Alligator mississippiensis: one gene and its partner. The protein of the gene in region 1 binds, or shares a complex with, the protein of each later gene. Links are inferred from orthologs where the notes say so. Each region holds a gene or a part of one and is shown in the gene's direction. Other genes may lie near its edges.

Evidence for each region.
Region 2: LAMTOR1 (region 1) and LAMTOR3 share a complex: the UniProt entries of both Homo sapiens proteins name them as parts of the ragulator complex. The link is inferred for Alligator mississippiensis from reciprocal best matches to the Homo sapiens genes LAMTOR1 and LAMTOR3.

What each region holds. Positions count from the first base shown.
Region 1 is NC_081824.1:477,691,596-477,699,053, reverse strand, and holds the start of LAMTOR1 (ragulator complex protein LAMTOR1), read left to right. Parts: upstream 1-4,255; 5' UTR 4,256-4,412; coding exon 4,413-4,454; intron 4,455-7,458. UniProt on the Homo sapiens protein: Key component of the Ragulator complex, a multiprotein complex involved in amino acid sensing and activation of mTORC1, a signaling complex promoting cell growth in response to growth factors, energy levels, and amino acids.
Region 2 is NC_081825.1:161,212,270-161,219,894, reverse strand, and holds the start of LAMTOR3 (ragulator complex protein LAMTOR3), read left to right. Parts: upstream 1-4,612; 5' UTR 4,613-4,751; intron 4,752-4,757; exon of another isoform or gene 4,758-4,917; 5' UTR 4,918-4,957; coding exon of another isoform or gene 4,958-4,966; intron 4,967-5,256; coding exon of another isoform or gene 5,257-5,291; intron 5,292-5,456; exon of another isoform or gene 5,457-6,031; 5' UTR 6,032-7,342; coding exon 7,343-7,448; intron 7,449-7,625. UniProt on the Homo sapiens protein: As part of the Ragulator complex it is involved in amino acid sensing and activation of mTORC1, a signaling complex promoting cell growth in response to growth factors, energy levels, and amino acids.

The sequences.
Region 1 (7,458 bases):
CTTGGAGCCCCAGGGGAGGAGATTCCCCCGTCCCCAGGCAGTTTGTCTCAGTGCCCTGTGGCCCCAATGGGTGGGAAGTCCTTCCTGAGCCCTGCTCTCAACAAACCCATTGCCTCAGACCCTGCCCTGTTCAGCTGGGGGCACTGCCAGTCTCTTTTGCTTTCCAGCAGCCTCTGACCCCTGCTCCGTCTCCTGTCCTCCAAACCACACCTCATCCTCATTCTTTTTTTATATAGCGGCACTGCAGCCCCTTTAGCATCATCATTGCTCGCCTCTGGATCCCCTCCAGCTTCTCTACGTCCTTCTTAAAACGTCGCCCCCCAGGCTGGACACAGTGCATCCTTTCCAGCGGTCACTGCCCTGCATGTGGCTATTTGGTTCGTCTGTGTTGAATTTCATGTTGTCTATCACCCAAGTCTCTCATGCCAACCCTGTTTCACAGCAGCATTGGGAGGTGGACAAGCATCAAGCAGCAGAAAGGCGGTCAATACACTAAAGAGATTAATTTTACCCATCATTTAACCAGAGCCAGGGTCTGCAAAGAGGTCCAGACCCATGCATTCAGCCTCCGGCCCTTCAGCAGGTGAAAGAAGCATTGCTATGTTTTATCCTTGCCCTCGTGACCTGGTACTCACTGGACTTCAGAGGAAATTGCTTTGGGGAAGAAAGGGAAAGTTACAGGACTCTCCAGGCATGAATCAGAGCAGGACAGTCGTGTAATTAGCCAGTGACTTGAGCCAAAAGCTTCAATTACACGCTGCTCTCAGTGTGGTCATGGCAGGGCTGGAATTGCAGGCGCATGGGACCTTCCTGGGATCTTGGCTGATTCCCCCACCATGACTGAGAGAAGACCGAGGGGGATTGAATAGCAGCCTCCAACTCCCTGCAGGGGGTTGCAAAGAGGATGGAGCTGCACTATTCTCAGTGGGGGCACATGACAGGACAAGGAGCAACGGGCTCAGGCTGCAGCAAGGGAAGTTGAGGTTGGATATTAAGGAAAATGTTCTCATGGGGAGGGTACTAAAGCACTGGAACAGGCTCCCCAGAGCGGTGGTAGAGTCTCCATCCTTGGAGGTTTTGAAGACCCAGCTTGACAGGGGGTTGGACTAGATGTGACCTCCTGAGGTCCCTTCCAACCTGAATTTTCTATGAGTTCTTGACTGGGCTGGGAAATGATGTAGCCTTCTAGCTACAGCTCCTGATGGTCCGGGGAACAAGGGGCTCCCTAGTCCAGGGGAGTGCTCTGCAGGGCATTTTCACTGCCTTGTCCAGGGCTGTTTAGACAGGCCTGCCCCGAGACAGGGTTCCTGGGGCTGGAGGTAACTGCCTCAGTGCAGCGGTGCCCAAACAGGCATCTAGGGAAGAGACCCTGGTTTGGAACAGGGACAAAATCTCCCCAGTTAAGACAGACACACTTTGGTTCCTAGGGGCTTCCCACCACAACCCTTGAGCAGGCATTTCTGCAAGCTACTGCCAGACAGAAAATCCCCCTTCCTTTTTGGCCTTCACCTAGGAGCGTCCAAAGGGCAGAGGAATGAGGCTTCTGTAGCTGGGAACTGCTCTAGCTCTGGCACAGAAGCACCATGTGTCCTTGACAGTGTCCCTTGAGACTGCACTGTCAAACGTTGGCAGCCGCAGTCCCTCTTGCCTTCCCTGCGGCAGGGTTGGGTGCGATGCCTGGTGCTGTGTCCGGTGACTGTTGTTTTGCTCAGAGGTTGGACAGTGAATTTGCCTGGGATGGTTTGGACAGGGCTGATGCTACCTCAGGCAGGGGGTTGGACCAGACGTGAGGTCTCTTCCAGCCCCACTGCTCTCCCAGGGGTCTGTGATCTGTCCAGTTTGCGCCCAGCCGGCAATCTTGAGAGCCAGGATGGAAAACAGCTCCCTCTCCTGTCAGTATTTCAGCTCTGCAAGGCTAATGAGAGTCACAGCTTATTATGGGGAACATCAAAATCATGGTTTGGAGCATTAGCAGAATTTGCAGGGATTACCAGGGATTAGCTGACAGGGGTCACAACGTGAATGCTTCTGCTATGAGGCTGGAACCCCCCCCCCCCAAACCAAAAAAATGGACGTTCCAGCAGCTGAGTTCTTGGCACCGGGGGGCTGACGAACCATGGCAAAGGTGGCAATGTCTCAACCGCCTGCGTACCAGAGTTGGATACTCCAAGGAACTAACGAAGAAGTGAGGATATGCCATTGGGTCAACCCCACCTGTGACTGCAGCACAGAGCCTCAGACTATGCAACACATGCTGCAATGCCTGCTGCTTGAAGGCACGTGTAAAGTAAGAGATCCCGCAAAGTAGAAAAAATGAGCAGAAGCATGCGTAACAAAAAAAACCCGGTCAAATGTGGTGTAGTGACATGAAGAGAAGAAAAAGATGGGGAACTTCAGCTCCCTAGAGAATGGCATGACAGTGCATGAGAAAGGGTCAGGTGCTGGTCATCTCTGTACAGAAAACGGCTGCTGCCTCAGGCAACTGTGGTGATAAATTCCTATCTGCAAAGCATCCAACTGACTGGCTGCAAGTCCCGTTTCCCATCGGCTCGGAGATCCCAGGCCTCTATTCAGCAAGCTAACGGAGAGCAGTTACTGCCTCGGCACGCACAAAGAGGTCTGCTAAAAGCTCTCGAAGGCAGGACTAGAGCGTGCTCTCTCAGGATACACACGTGTAGGTGTGCATGATGCATTGATCTGTGATGCAAGCTCATGCAGAGAGCAACAATGCCCAGACACTTCCAGTAGCTCCAAAGGACCAGGATGCGGTTCCTGGGGATGATCACGGACTCGATTTTCTCTCTCTCACCAGGGAAATATGCAAGAGCAGGCAGGGCCTCTCCGGTTAGCGGCTGGAAATAGCAAGCAGGAGATGTGGCCCATGTGGGAGGCCGAAGAGGAACAAGCTCTGTGGCTCACAGGACGGAGAGAAGGGTAAAACTGAAATCCACTCTGCTTCTCCTGCCTCGGAGCCTCACAGCCTCGGTGGAGAACAGACCTTTTACAAGGCAAGGAAGGAAGCACTAGGATGAGCTGGGGTTAGGGGAAGTGAAAGAGGGAAACAGCCACACCAGCCTGCCCTCTGCTTGGAAAGGAGCAGCAAGGAGCAGAGGAGCCGGACCTCCAGGCCACTGTAAATAAAGCTCAGCCCGAGGCTGCCTGCGCTCCATTTACCACGTGCAGCAGTTGTGTGTCCTGTTGATCGAATGGGGACAGTCAGGTGCATCACCCAAATTTCCCTTCCTGCTCTGGAGACACAGGAGGTTCCTCAGCACAGAGGTGTGCCAGCTCCAGACCTGCCCCCCACAGCTGGGGTTTGGCTTCGTTAAACACAGGAATCCCTGCATCGGCTCACGTACAACACACGCCATTTCCCCCAAAAAGCAGGGGCTGGGAATAGGGGTGCACGTTGTAGGCAAAGAAATATGGCAATAGCAGTTTCAGTCACTGAAGCGTCCACGTGGCACAAGCCACCCCATCCACCGAGAGCGGAAGAACGAACCGGGTTGGGCTCCTTAGCTGCTGCGACTCAGTGACTTACAACAGGAAAGACCTTTTTTTGTCTTCATTCACGTCATGTGCAGGGGAGTACAGTAAAAAAAGAAAAAAACCCACGCTAACCATTGCATTTAACCGCTGCATGTAGTGCAGGCGCTCCCCAGCAGGTTTCGCAAGGTGCCCCTGCCACTCTCTGGGTGGGGGAAACCAATCCAGGACACCACGGTCCCGGGTGCATCCAGAGAAGCAAGTGCAAGTCTCCCTCTCAGACACCTGCACCCCAAGGGTGGTGGGTGGGGGGGGGTTGCAAAGAGGACAGAGTTGGGCTGCGCTCAGCAGGGCCAGCTGGCAGGACAAGGGGCAATGGGCACAGGCTGCAGCAAGGAAAGTTGAGGCTGGAAAAACTCCCTCACTTAGGAGTCAAACAGAAGAAAGAGTCTCCACCCTTGGAGGCGCTGAAGCCCCAGTTAACCCAGACACCCTGTCTGAAAGCACCCCACGCAGCCCCAGGCTCTTCTATAGCCCTGCCCCCTATCACGTGACCCAAGGGACGCGCGGCCGGTTCCCCCCCCCCGCCGGGCTCCGGCCTCCCTCGCCACGTGACCCCCAGCGGAGCGCGCCGATTGGCCCCCCTCTCTCTGTCTCTCTCTCTCTCTCTCTCTCTCTCTCTCGCTCTCTCTCCCCCTCCCCGCCGGTCACGTGCCGGGGGAGCGGCAGGCGGGTCACGTGCCCGGAAGCGGCGGAGTGGGGCCGGGGGGAGTGGCCGCCTCTTTTCCCCCCCCCCCACTTCACCCACCCCATCTCCTCCCTCCCGCTTGTTGTTGGAGCGAGGGCTCATGTGACCGGGGCGGCCGGGCCCAGCCGGACAGCGCCCCCCGCCCCCGCCTCCCGGCCCGGCCCGGCTCGGCCCGGCCATGGGGTGCTGCTACAGCAGCGAGAACGAGGCCTCCGACCAGGTGGGGGAGGGGTCCCTGAAGGGGGAGGGGAGGGTTTGGGTGGGAGACCCTCGGATGGGAGGGGCCTAGAGGGGTCCCTGAAGGGGGGGGGATGGGTAGGCCCTTGGGGAGGGGGGGCTTGAGGCCTCAAGGGAGGGACTTGGCACGGGGAGGGGGCGCGGGGCAGGAGGCTGCTCGCCCCGGGGGGGGGGGGGGGGGCGAGGTTGGGAGCAGCGCTGCGGGCTTGGGGGGGAGGGTGCCCCCGCGTGCGTGGTGGGCTGGTGCGTGGGCGGAGGGGGGTGGGGCTCTCAGTCAGGGCTTGCCACCCTGCGGGGTGACCTAGGAGGCGGGGCGGGGCCGGGGCCATGGGGTGGGTCTGCCCTGACCCTGGTGGAGACGGAGGCTTTTCCCTTCGGAAGGGGGCGGGTTTCCTCTGCGGCTGCTGTGGGCAAGCGAAGGCAGCACCTGGTCGGTCGGGTCCCTTCCTCCCCCGGTCGCTGCGTTACAGGCTGCGGGGCGAGCGGGGGGAGCCTCCGCTGCTGGGTCGTTTCTGGTGCCAGAAAATGAGGGAGCAGGCCGCCTCTTTCCACTGCTTGCCCTCCGCGCTGCTGGTCGGGGTGCTCGGCTTGGGTTCACCAGGGCTCGGAGGCCTCGTGCCTACAGTGGCACGGAGCTGGGCCCCACCGCCGCTCGTCCCTGGCCCTTTCCTTGTCGGCGCGCTGGTTCGAACCCAGCACGAGTTGCCAGTAGTGCCGGTGTGACGGCAGATTCGTAGCTGTGCAAGAAGTTTAGGGGCCTCCTTTAAATTCCCGGTAAGCTGGCGTCGGCTTTGCCAAACCCTTCAGCAGAGCTGACGCTAATTAAATCCCCTGGTTGGCAGCCTCGACAGAGACCGGCTTGAGCCTTGGAGACGGTGTTCCCTTTGCACGCTTACAGGTGGCTCTCGCAGAGCTGCCTGGGGTTGGCTGGCAGTGCGTGGTGGGTTTTGGGAGTGGGATGGGTAACCCTGTGGACAAAATCTGGTTCAGCTGGTCCTTCCTATTGGAACAAAGCGGCTGCAAAAGTGAGATGGGAGGACCGCAGACAGCATCTTCCTTCGCTCTGTGGGAGTTATGTTTTATCCTGGTCTTCTGGCCTTTTCCCAAATGAATGAGCTCAGGACCTCTCTGAATGTAAAATAAGTTTTAAGTGTGGCCACCAGTTAGTGGGAATCAGATATTTGTAAGGAGCGTTGGTTTGAGTTCAACATGCACCGGAAGGACCGCTGCGGTTCTGGAACGTGCTTGCTTGCGTTCGGTGACGGCCTGCACATCCCGGTCCAGATAGACTTCTAGGTGCAAGCGTGGGGCAGAGATTTGGACCTTGTTCTTGGTAGATTAGCCAGCAACTGATGTAGGGAAACCAGCCAAATGCAGGATACCCCATCTCCTCCAAGCCTTGCACACAGTGGTATTTACCTGGCTTCAGGGGGTAAGAAGCTGCCCCCTGTGTGAAGTCAGTGCATGCATGTTGGACAGACAGGAGCTGCTGCTTAAATCTGTCCCAGGAAGACCCCAGATTGCGTCTCATAGCACCTAATCGACAGCTATCCAGTGACATTGGAGATAGTGGGATTGCCAGAAGGATGGAGATGGTAATAATATTCTAGGGTTAATTAATGACTGACTTGGCAGCAAGGCTGCTCCTCAATCAGAGCTGTGTTTCCTTTGCTGAGAGCTTGAAAGGACTCTTGTTTTTGAGGCTCTGGTGATGTGGTCTGGCTTTGAATGGGGCACACCCGAGTTGCAACAGGAGTGAAGCGGGGTGGAGGTGTATAGGCAAACCCAGTGCAAGGGCTTGTCTTGACTAGGTCACGATCCAGCTGGCTTTACCAAGCACCTGGTGACTGAAACTGGCCCCTTCTGCTGGTCTGGTGACAGTTGAGCCATCCCAAGGAGGTACTGGAAACCCAGTGCTTAGTCAGTGGTGGAACAGCTTGCTCAAGCTTGCTACTGGAAAGTCTCGCTCTGCATTTGTCTCTAAACCTTCCTTAATTTCCTTACTTCAGCTGTGCAGAATCACCATGGAGACCAACCGGGCCAGACACTTATTTGCCCTTTGTCCGGAGAGTTTAGTTGATTGCCTAGACTGCCTGAGCCTGCTTTGCTGGAGCTGATGGCCCTGATACCTCTCTGAATTCCTCCCCTCCTAGGCCTGCCCGTACACACATTTGAGGGCGTTCATGTGTAGTTGGTGCAGGACACACCCTTGCAAGCTCTCATTATTCAGCTGTGCAAACCCAAGCTTGGCCCCTTCTTCCCTAGCAGGAAAGGCAGAACTTTCACCCATACAGGATCCGGACCTGCCTTTTCAGTCCTTCCGCTGCGTGGATGTTCCTGGCACTGCCTGGGCCTAGACGCTGCCTCCCCAGAGCCCCTCGGACTGGAGCAGATGGGGGTTGGGTTCAGGGTGGCTTGTCACAGCCTTGGGAGCGGATGCGTGTGCATATCGGCATGGGTCCGTGTTCTGCACTTTTCCACCCCTCAAGTATAGGCATAAAACACTGTCCCGTGCTCTTATAGTAAGTGACGAGGCCCAGGCAGTGAAACATGGGGAGGAAGCAGCTGAGAGGCGTGAGCTCTCCCTTCTCCAGGGTGGGCTTCTCTCTGGTGCCTGGGGCCCATGATATGACACCAGCTGGGCCTGTTTCCTGCCTGGGCAGCACGGGCCCTACGGAAGTCTCCGGCTGTTGTGGCCCCCTCCAAAATGGGAAGTAACCAAGGGCTCATCTGCAGTCAGCTGCTGCCACAGGGAAGCCACTAGACTGCAAGGCAGTTGCACAACTTCAGCTGGCTTTGGCTGGAACTGCACAGCTCTGCTACGGCTGTTGAGTGGGCAGGCGTACAGCATGCCCTGGGAGGTACTAGTCATCAAAAGCGTCACAGCAGGGAGCACAAGTGCTGCCCAGTGGCTGGGAGACCATTGAGTCTATCCCTCTGCATTTGCAGGCTGCCCTCAAGGACTCCCCAAAACCCCCACTTTAGAC
Region 2 (7,625 bases), on another chromosome or scaffold:
AGAGTGTAATCAGATATGAAAGATGGCTTCATGAACAAAAATAAGCCTAACTTTCAAATCCAGTTAAATAAGTATAAGCCATGAATTAAGGTTTTGGGGTTTTTCAACACAGTAGAGTGGAAGAACAAGTAAACAATGATCTGTGACTAGTGGTAGCTACTTCAAAACTTATGTTGGTTTCTGCTTGTCACTATTAGAAGGCAGGAGGAAATAGATATGAAAAGCTTGGAATGGGGAGGAAAAAACAGCCTTTAAGTCTTCATACACATTTGGGTTTTTTGTGCGTTTAAGTGTCAGTGAGTACACCTACACATGCATTAATGCATGGTAATCTGTGCTACTGCGTAGTAACGCTGGCACACATCTTTTACATGAAGCTAATACGCAGTTAACTAATTGTATGGCACATTAACATGGTTTTCGCCGTGACACAGTAATGCACAGTAGAATTAATCTACTGCACTTCTAGCATCTTGTGTAGATACACCCAGTATGTAGGACCAGGCCTAATCTTTTAGATGATTTTGTAATCTTTCTGGAGCACTTCAGGCTTCCTCACTACTAAAATAGATTTTTTTTTCTAGATTATTTGATTTCTTCTAAGCATGTTAAAAAGAAATGTTCCTTATATTAAGGATTCTGTGAAGTGTGTTTTTTTTTAAAGCTTCTCTGCATGTATAATTTCCCTGATCAGTACATGATTTCTTTTCTCTTAATACCAAGGTTTGCTGATCTCGGGGCCAGTAGATTTGTGACTATTGTATGTGCACAGATGTATAGGTGTACATACTTTTATCCAGCTAATACCTCAAACTTGTGATTTGTTTAATATTGTACCTCTGTAAGTTTGCACAGAACAGGGCTTTCATTAGCACCAAGAAATTATCCATCCAACTTTGGTGGGTTCTGTTGTCACTGATCTTAAAAGGCTTATTTTTTCCAGTGAGTGAGTGACATTCTCATTACAACATTTGTTCTCAAAAGAAAATTATACCTGTTCATTCTGCACTGCAATCTGAAAGCTGACAGGGTAAAAAAGCAATTCTCAGCTTGAATAAAATATGAAATATCTGTAATGTTAAGCCATTTTCAAATCCATTTATGAACCTGCTGCTGGCACTGGCTCTTGCTCAGCTGAGACAATGATATTTTAAAAGCATTGCTTGGTTTAAAAATCTGAAGGAACTTGAATATTTGTTCTCTAGACTCTTGAAACAAGCACCACAGTAACTGAAAATAAATTGTGCTCAAGACCCCTCTAATAAATTTAATGGAAGCCTTGCAAAAGGACATGCAGTGAAATGAAGTTGGCATCTTAAAAAAGATCTTATATTATTTTGTCTAACTCAGTAGCGCAGTCAAGATTTAAAGGTTAGGTTTTAAAAAAATACTTGTCTGATTTCTAATATATCTAATGTAATATCAGACTTATATTAAAATAAAATTATTTTCAGTGTGAAACTGTGCTACCATCTTATCTTTTTACCTGTTAAAAACATCTCTGATGACTAACCATTTTAGTTTTGCTTCATGAAAAGTGGTTTGCATTTAAAAAGGAAGTAACGATGTTATGGTATTCTCAGCACCACAAACTAAAGGCTAAGAATAAAAAATGTTCAGCTTAATAATCAAGTAGTCCTTTTTAGGGTAAAATGTTATGGCTACTAGATAGATGTTTGATACTACCATTCCTTATGGATTATTTTATAACTTGAGACTTCTCTAAACAGGCATGTAATTACCTAAAGGATGACCACCTATTTGAAACAAAGATTCTTATTTGAGAACAACATAATAATGATAATTAATTAATTATTTATAGTTTAATTTTAATTTATAATAATTTATTTATAATAATATTGTATTATTCATAAATACAACATTCCAGTGTATTCCAATATATTTCCTTTGGCAAATGACTTGAAAAAGAAGAGTATTGGGTGTTCATGACATGCTAGTTTGTGGTTAGTTTAAAAGTAGTCAAGAGACAGAGAAAAAAACAAGACTTGTAGGGATGAATACAGAATTAAGGGCTCTACCTCTTGCAGACCTCAGGACTGTGTTCAGTGATTTATTTATATATGCACCATAAACTATTTCATGAAGTGAAATCCTGGCCCCATTGAAGTCAATGATGTACTACTATTGATTTCAGTGGGGCTAGTATTTCACCCCTAATTTTGCTCATAATTATTATGTACAGCTAAATCCAACTTTCAGTGAAACAATGTTAACAGTTACATCACAGTAGTTACCTACTAGCAGGTGGCGGCCAAACAATGTTATAAGTGAACATTATGTGACTTTAAATGAGTATGTTCTCTAATAGCTTAATGAGGTAATAAAGAAACAATGTTAACCAGGACAACATTAAGTGAGGAATACCTGTATTTGGTGCACATATCTAAACTAATGTTAAAAAAATACCAAAGTTATAATTGTATATGCTTCTGAAGAAGGAATTATAGCTGTCACTTTTGAATTAAAAAATTATGTACTAGAGTGACAGTACACAAATGTCCTTCTGTGTGCTGAGGTGGGAATTAGTTTTATACTTTACAATGAACTGAAGCTGTAGGGGTTTAGTATAATCCAACATGTCTGCTTAGCGTATGTAACTAACCAGATAGCCTATAAGCTCTTTCATATAAAAGTGAATACACAGCAGTTCATAATGGAAATGAGTTACACAAAAAAAAATCTAAAACCTAATTTTGTCATGTTGGGGGAAGGTTTGTTTATAATGATGACTACATATTTCAGTCCTGCAAAGGAGTAGATAACTGCAAATATCTGTAATTTAAAACAATAAATGACACTGAAATATAAACCTCATCTGGAAAATCTGCCTTACAGTTCAAAATTATTTTTAAATTTTGGGAGAAAAATGAAAAGGGCATTAAACAGCCACACTTGTCTTCTCTAATTAGATAATCTGATTTTCATCCTAATTGCTGTTTTTATTAATAAAGTAATTAGATTTCTTAAAACAAATGCTGTTTAGTTGAGTGGCATACATGATCACAAAAAAAACTGTCTGTGCCTATAGCTTTTACTGAATTTTATACAGTAGGTAGGAACTATGACAAAAGGAATGGGTTATGAACAGAGATCCTGGTTTTTTCTATTTAAAAATCCAAATCTCTCTGACTATAAACCCCAAAATCTGTGTTTTTACACAATTAAAATGAAATGACACTCTATAGGGATCAGTTGAACACCACATTTTGCTGATATATTTACTATTCTAAAGCAATTTGAAAGCCTACCAGCGCCTCAGTCATTATAATAAATTCTAAATACCTATATATTTTGGCATATGATTTTGTTTTTTTATTATGGAAAATCAGAACTCCCCCTCCCCCTTCACTCATCAGAACATGGGTCCAGTAGTGGTTGCCCGCCCCCTGCTGCTTTATGGCACTGAGCAGCCCTAATATGCCGCTGCCCCTCACTCCCAGCCTACAGCCCTCCTAGTGCCCCTCGCTCATGACCTGCTGCCCCCCACCCGCAGGCCCCAGCTCCCCCAAGTGTGTGAGGAAGGGGGTGGGTGTATGGGGAACAAAGTGCATGTGTGGGGAAGGGGGTGTATGGGCGTAGGCAACAGGTTGGAGGTAGGCACAAGCGATGTGGCGGGGAGTGGGGGTATGTCCGCCTTGGATTTCTGTGCCCACAACAGGGTGTGGGGTTGCAGCCTGGCTAGACCAGCTCCAAGTAGGATCCGCCTCTGCAGTACAGCAGGCAGGACCCAGTGTGGGAGGGAGCGCTGTGCTACCAGAGACCAAACAGGTGCAGCAGCATGGAGTTGGGCCTGGGCCTGCTGCTGGGTGGGCAAGGGGTGCCTCACCTTGGAGGTCATGGCAGCATACTGCTCTTCCACGCCGGGTCCTGCCCACTGGGCCATGGAGGTGGCTCCTGCTCATTTGGTCTGGCCTGGCTGCAGCCCTGACTGAGGGGGCATTTGAGAGCAGCCTTTAACTACCTGAAGAGGGTTCAAAAGAGGATGGAGCTGGACTGTTCTCAGGGGTGGCAGGTGACAGAACAAGGAGCAGTAGTCTCAAGCTGCAGCAAGGGAAGTTTAGGTTAGATATTAGGAAAAACTCTTACTAGGAGGCTAGTAAAACATGAGAACAGGTTACCCAGGGAGGCTGCAGACTCCATCCTGGGAGGTTTTTGAAACCCAGGCAGACAAAGCCCTGGCTGGGAGGATCCAGTCGGGGCTGGTCCTGCTCTGAGCTGGGGGTTGGACTAGATGACCTCCTGAGGTCCTTGTCAACCCTAATTATCTGTGATCCAACTCTGCGGTCTCGGCCCTACAACAGGTGACCTGACACCCTGCCACGGGACCTTCGAGCAGCAAACAGCAAAGGGCGCCCGCCCGGTCCCCCAGCCCCACGTTCCCTTCCCAGGGCGAGCCTCAGCCTACTTCCCAGGCAGCGGCCCCGGCCCCGGCCCCGGCCCCGCCCCCCTCCGTCGCGGTTGCCGTGGAGACGCGGCGCGCCGGCTTCGAGCCACGCCCAGGCGGTGCCGCCCCCGGCCCGGCGTGCTATGACTCCTCCCGCAGCCCGTAGCTTCCTCCCGGCGCGCGCAGCTCCCACCCCGTCCTCCCCGAAGTCGGAAGTGAGGCAGCGGCGGGCAACCGCTTCCGGGGCAGGGAGGTGGCGGCTCATGTGACTCGCTTCCGAAGAGGAAGCAGTAGAGTCGGGGCTGCTTTGCGCGAGCCCGGGACGAGCCGTCCGCCTGTGGCCAGGGTGAGGCGGGCTGGGGGCCATCCTTCCCCTTCCCCACAGAAGGGGTCTGGCGGGGGCTGGGCCCGACGGGCAAGCCTCCTCCTACCCCCGGGGCAGGCCTGGCCTGTGGCTCCGGCGGCGGTTCTGGGCCGCGGCTCGGTCGTGACCCGCGGCGCTTGTGTTGTAGAAGCAGCGGCCGCAGCACGGCGGAGCGGAGGCGCCGCAGCATGGCCGACGTGAGTGCGGGGGCAGGGGCCTGGGGGGCGCGGCCTCCCTCCCCAGCTGTCTGCACCGGGGAGAGGGGTGGTGGGGGAGGTCTCCCCGCGTGGCTGAGCTGGTGCCAGGAGTCCCCGCCTGGAGGTGAAGCAGATTTGCTCTCGGGGGCTGCCCCCCCAGAAGAAGGGATGAGGAACCTCCCCTCCTCACCAGGAAACACCCCTTCTTAAGTAGTTTTACACTTGGGGCACAGGCGTGTGCTGGCCAGGACCCTGCAGCTGAACTGTGCCATGCTTTTCTCTCTTTCTAGGACCTGAAAAGGTTCCTGTACAAAAAGCTACCAAGGTAACACACGTGCATCATGTGGCCTCCTGGTCTGTGGATGGGGGAGGTCCCGTGGCCTTTGGGGGGGTGGTGCATGTGGTGTTACATGGGGGGAGTGGGCACCACCTGGCCTCCAGGTGGGGGCAGCAGCACAGCATCCCAGGAATTTGACGGGTGCAGCATGTTCTCTTCTGTGGGGGGAGGGAGGCTGGGGTGTTACATGTCCTCTGGAGGTGTGGCAGGGTGTCGTGTGTCATCTAGGGGCATGGTGGGCAGTCATGTGACTTCCTCAGAATTTCCTGCGGTGGATCATCCCTGGTGCTGCTCTGTGAAGAGTGTGTGCTGCTATTTAATTTGAGTCACTGTTCTGCCTGCAGCAGAGCTCACTGTATTGTCTGTGCTGTCAGGATGCTTCAAGAGCCACTGGGTGTTCTGTAAAGTGCTGCAGTACCCCACGATGGAGTCATTCTAACAGAGTGTCTTTGGGCACAAAAGCACATGTGTTTACTCAGTTCAGTACTTAAATAGACCCTGCCAGCTCAAAATGTAGTACTCTACCCACAAGACGCCCACATCCTTGAAGTAGGCTGAGGTATAGGGCTGGAAGGGACCTCCAGAGGCCATCTAGTCCAACCCCCTGCATGAGGCAGGATCATCCCTATCTCAGCCACCCCATGCAATCCATTATCTGAATTCTACATGAGACTACCATCAACCTTAACACAACACAGCTCAAACCTGCTTTTCATTGTGCGCTACAGGGAAACAGTATGCTAGAACGGATAACTTACTGAACTCAAGGGAAACGTCTGTTTTGTTTCTTTAAGGATCGGCGGTTCTTGGTAACTTCTGTTTCTCATAACTGCAAGTAGCTAGCCTAAGGTATTGATTGATATCCCTAAGTAGATGTGCTCTGTGACTCTAAATGCAGTGAAGCCTGCACTAAGGGTCATCTCCCATAGTAATCCTCTTCTAAAGCTGAAAGGCCCACATGAGGGGTCTTGTTTTTTTTGGTACAGTTACCTTCGTACTTCTAAGATGTGCATAAACACAGCACGATGTGAATTTTGCAGGTCTGTTTGATTAAGCAAGGCTTTAAGTGATAGCAGTGGGAATGTGGTGACATCCTTTTTCCTTGCAGTTTACTCACACTTGCTTTTGTGTACTTTGTGGCAGGCCAGTAGGGGGCACTCCTGCACTGAGCCACCCACCTCACTGCGCCTGACCACCTACCACCCTTCAAATGCCTCCCTGGGGATGCCTCACATCTGGCTGACCCCCTTCCTGGAGCATATCCGCTAGCTTGGCATTTACCCCCGCCACTGCCCAGGGTTGCGTACACACACCGTGTAGTCCTTGAGGGTACTCAACCCACTGTAAAAGCTTGGGGTGCTTCCTTTAGCCTGAAGCACAAAAGCAGCCTCCCTTAGTCAGCCGGACCAAGGGGGCACAAAGGCATGCCTCTCCCAACAAGTCCACCAGACTTAATACAGTGAAGAACTTTATTGGTTACAAAGGGGAGGCTTGGGGGAGGGTGCAGGATAGAGAAATACTACAAAATAACTCTTAAGTAAACAGTGGCAAGGTCGCTTTTGTAACACAAGTGCGTGATCTACAGGCTATATATTTAGTTGGGTTCCGAGTGGTTTACTCTCAAGTATCATCCAGAGGCTGATAGAGCGTTGCTTTGGAGGCAGACAGTTTGTAGTGTGTCCACATGATGAGAGAGCTGCAGATGTTCAGCTGCTCTGTGTCTTCATCATGGCTACAACCCCTCCTCCTGGGCAGTCTTGGCATATATAGGCCTTTTGACATCATGTACCTGATCCAGTGAAGGCCGTCACTTGGTGGCTCCCAGCCAGCCAACTTGAAGTGCATCACTGGTTACGGAGCAGAGGGGCAGGGCTCCTACCTCCACCTCTAGTCATGAGGTCCTTGCTAAAACAATAGCAAGCTTAAGCCCCCACCCTGGTACCTGTCCCCAGGCACATAAGCAGAGTTGGTAGATGGGTAAGGGGACAATGCTGAGGAAAAAAAAGAACTGGTGAAAGGAAGACGGGGAGGAGGCTGGGATGGAAATTCTCCCCAATGCTCATGTTCTTTTTCTCTCTTTTTACAGTGTTGAAGGTCTTCATGCTATTGTAGTCTCAGACAGAGATGGTGTGCCTGTTATCAAAGGTAATTCACAACTTCTAATGGTTGTGTAGGGTTTTTTTGGAGTAGTGGTTTTTTGTTTTCTTAAGAAAAATAAGGCTGGGGGCTAAGAGGGAGCGCTAGATTAAATGATCCTGCCTTTCCGGAGGTCTGTGTCAAAACCAGTGATTCTCAGCTGGGGAGTTGATTCTTTGAAGGGTG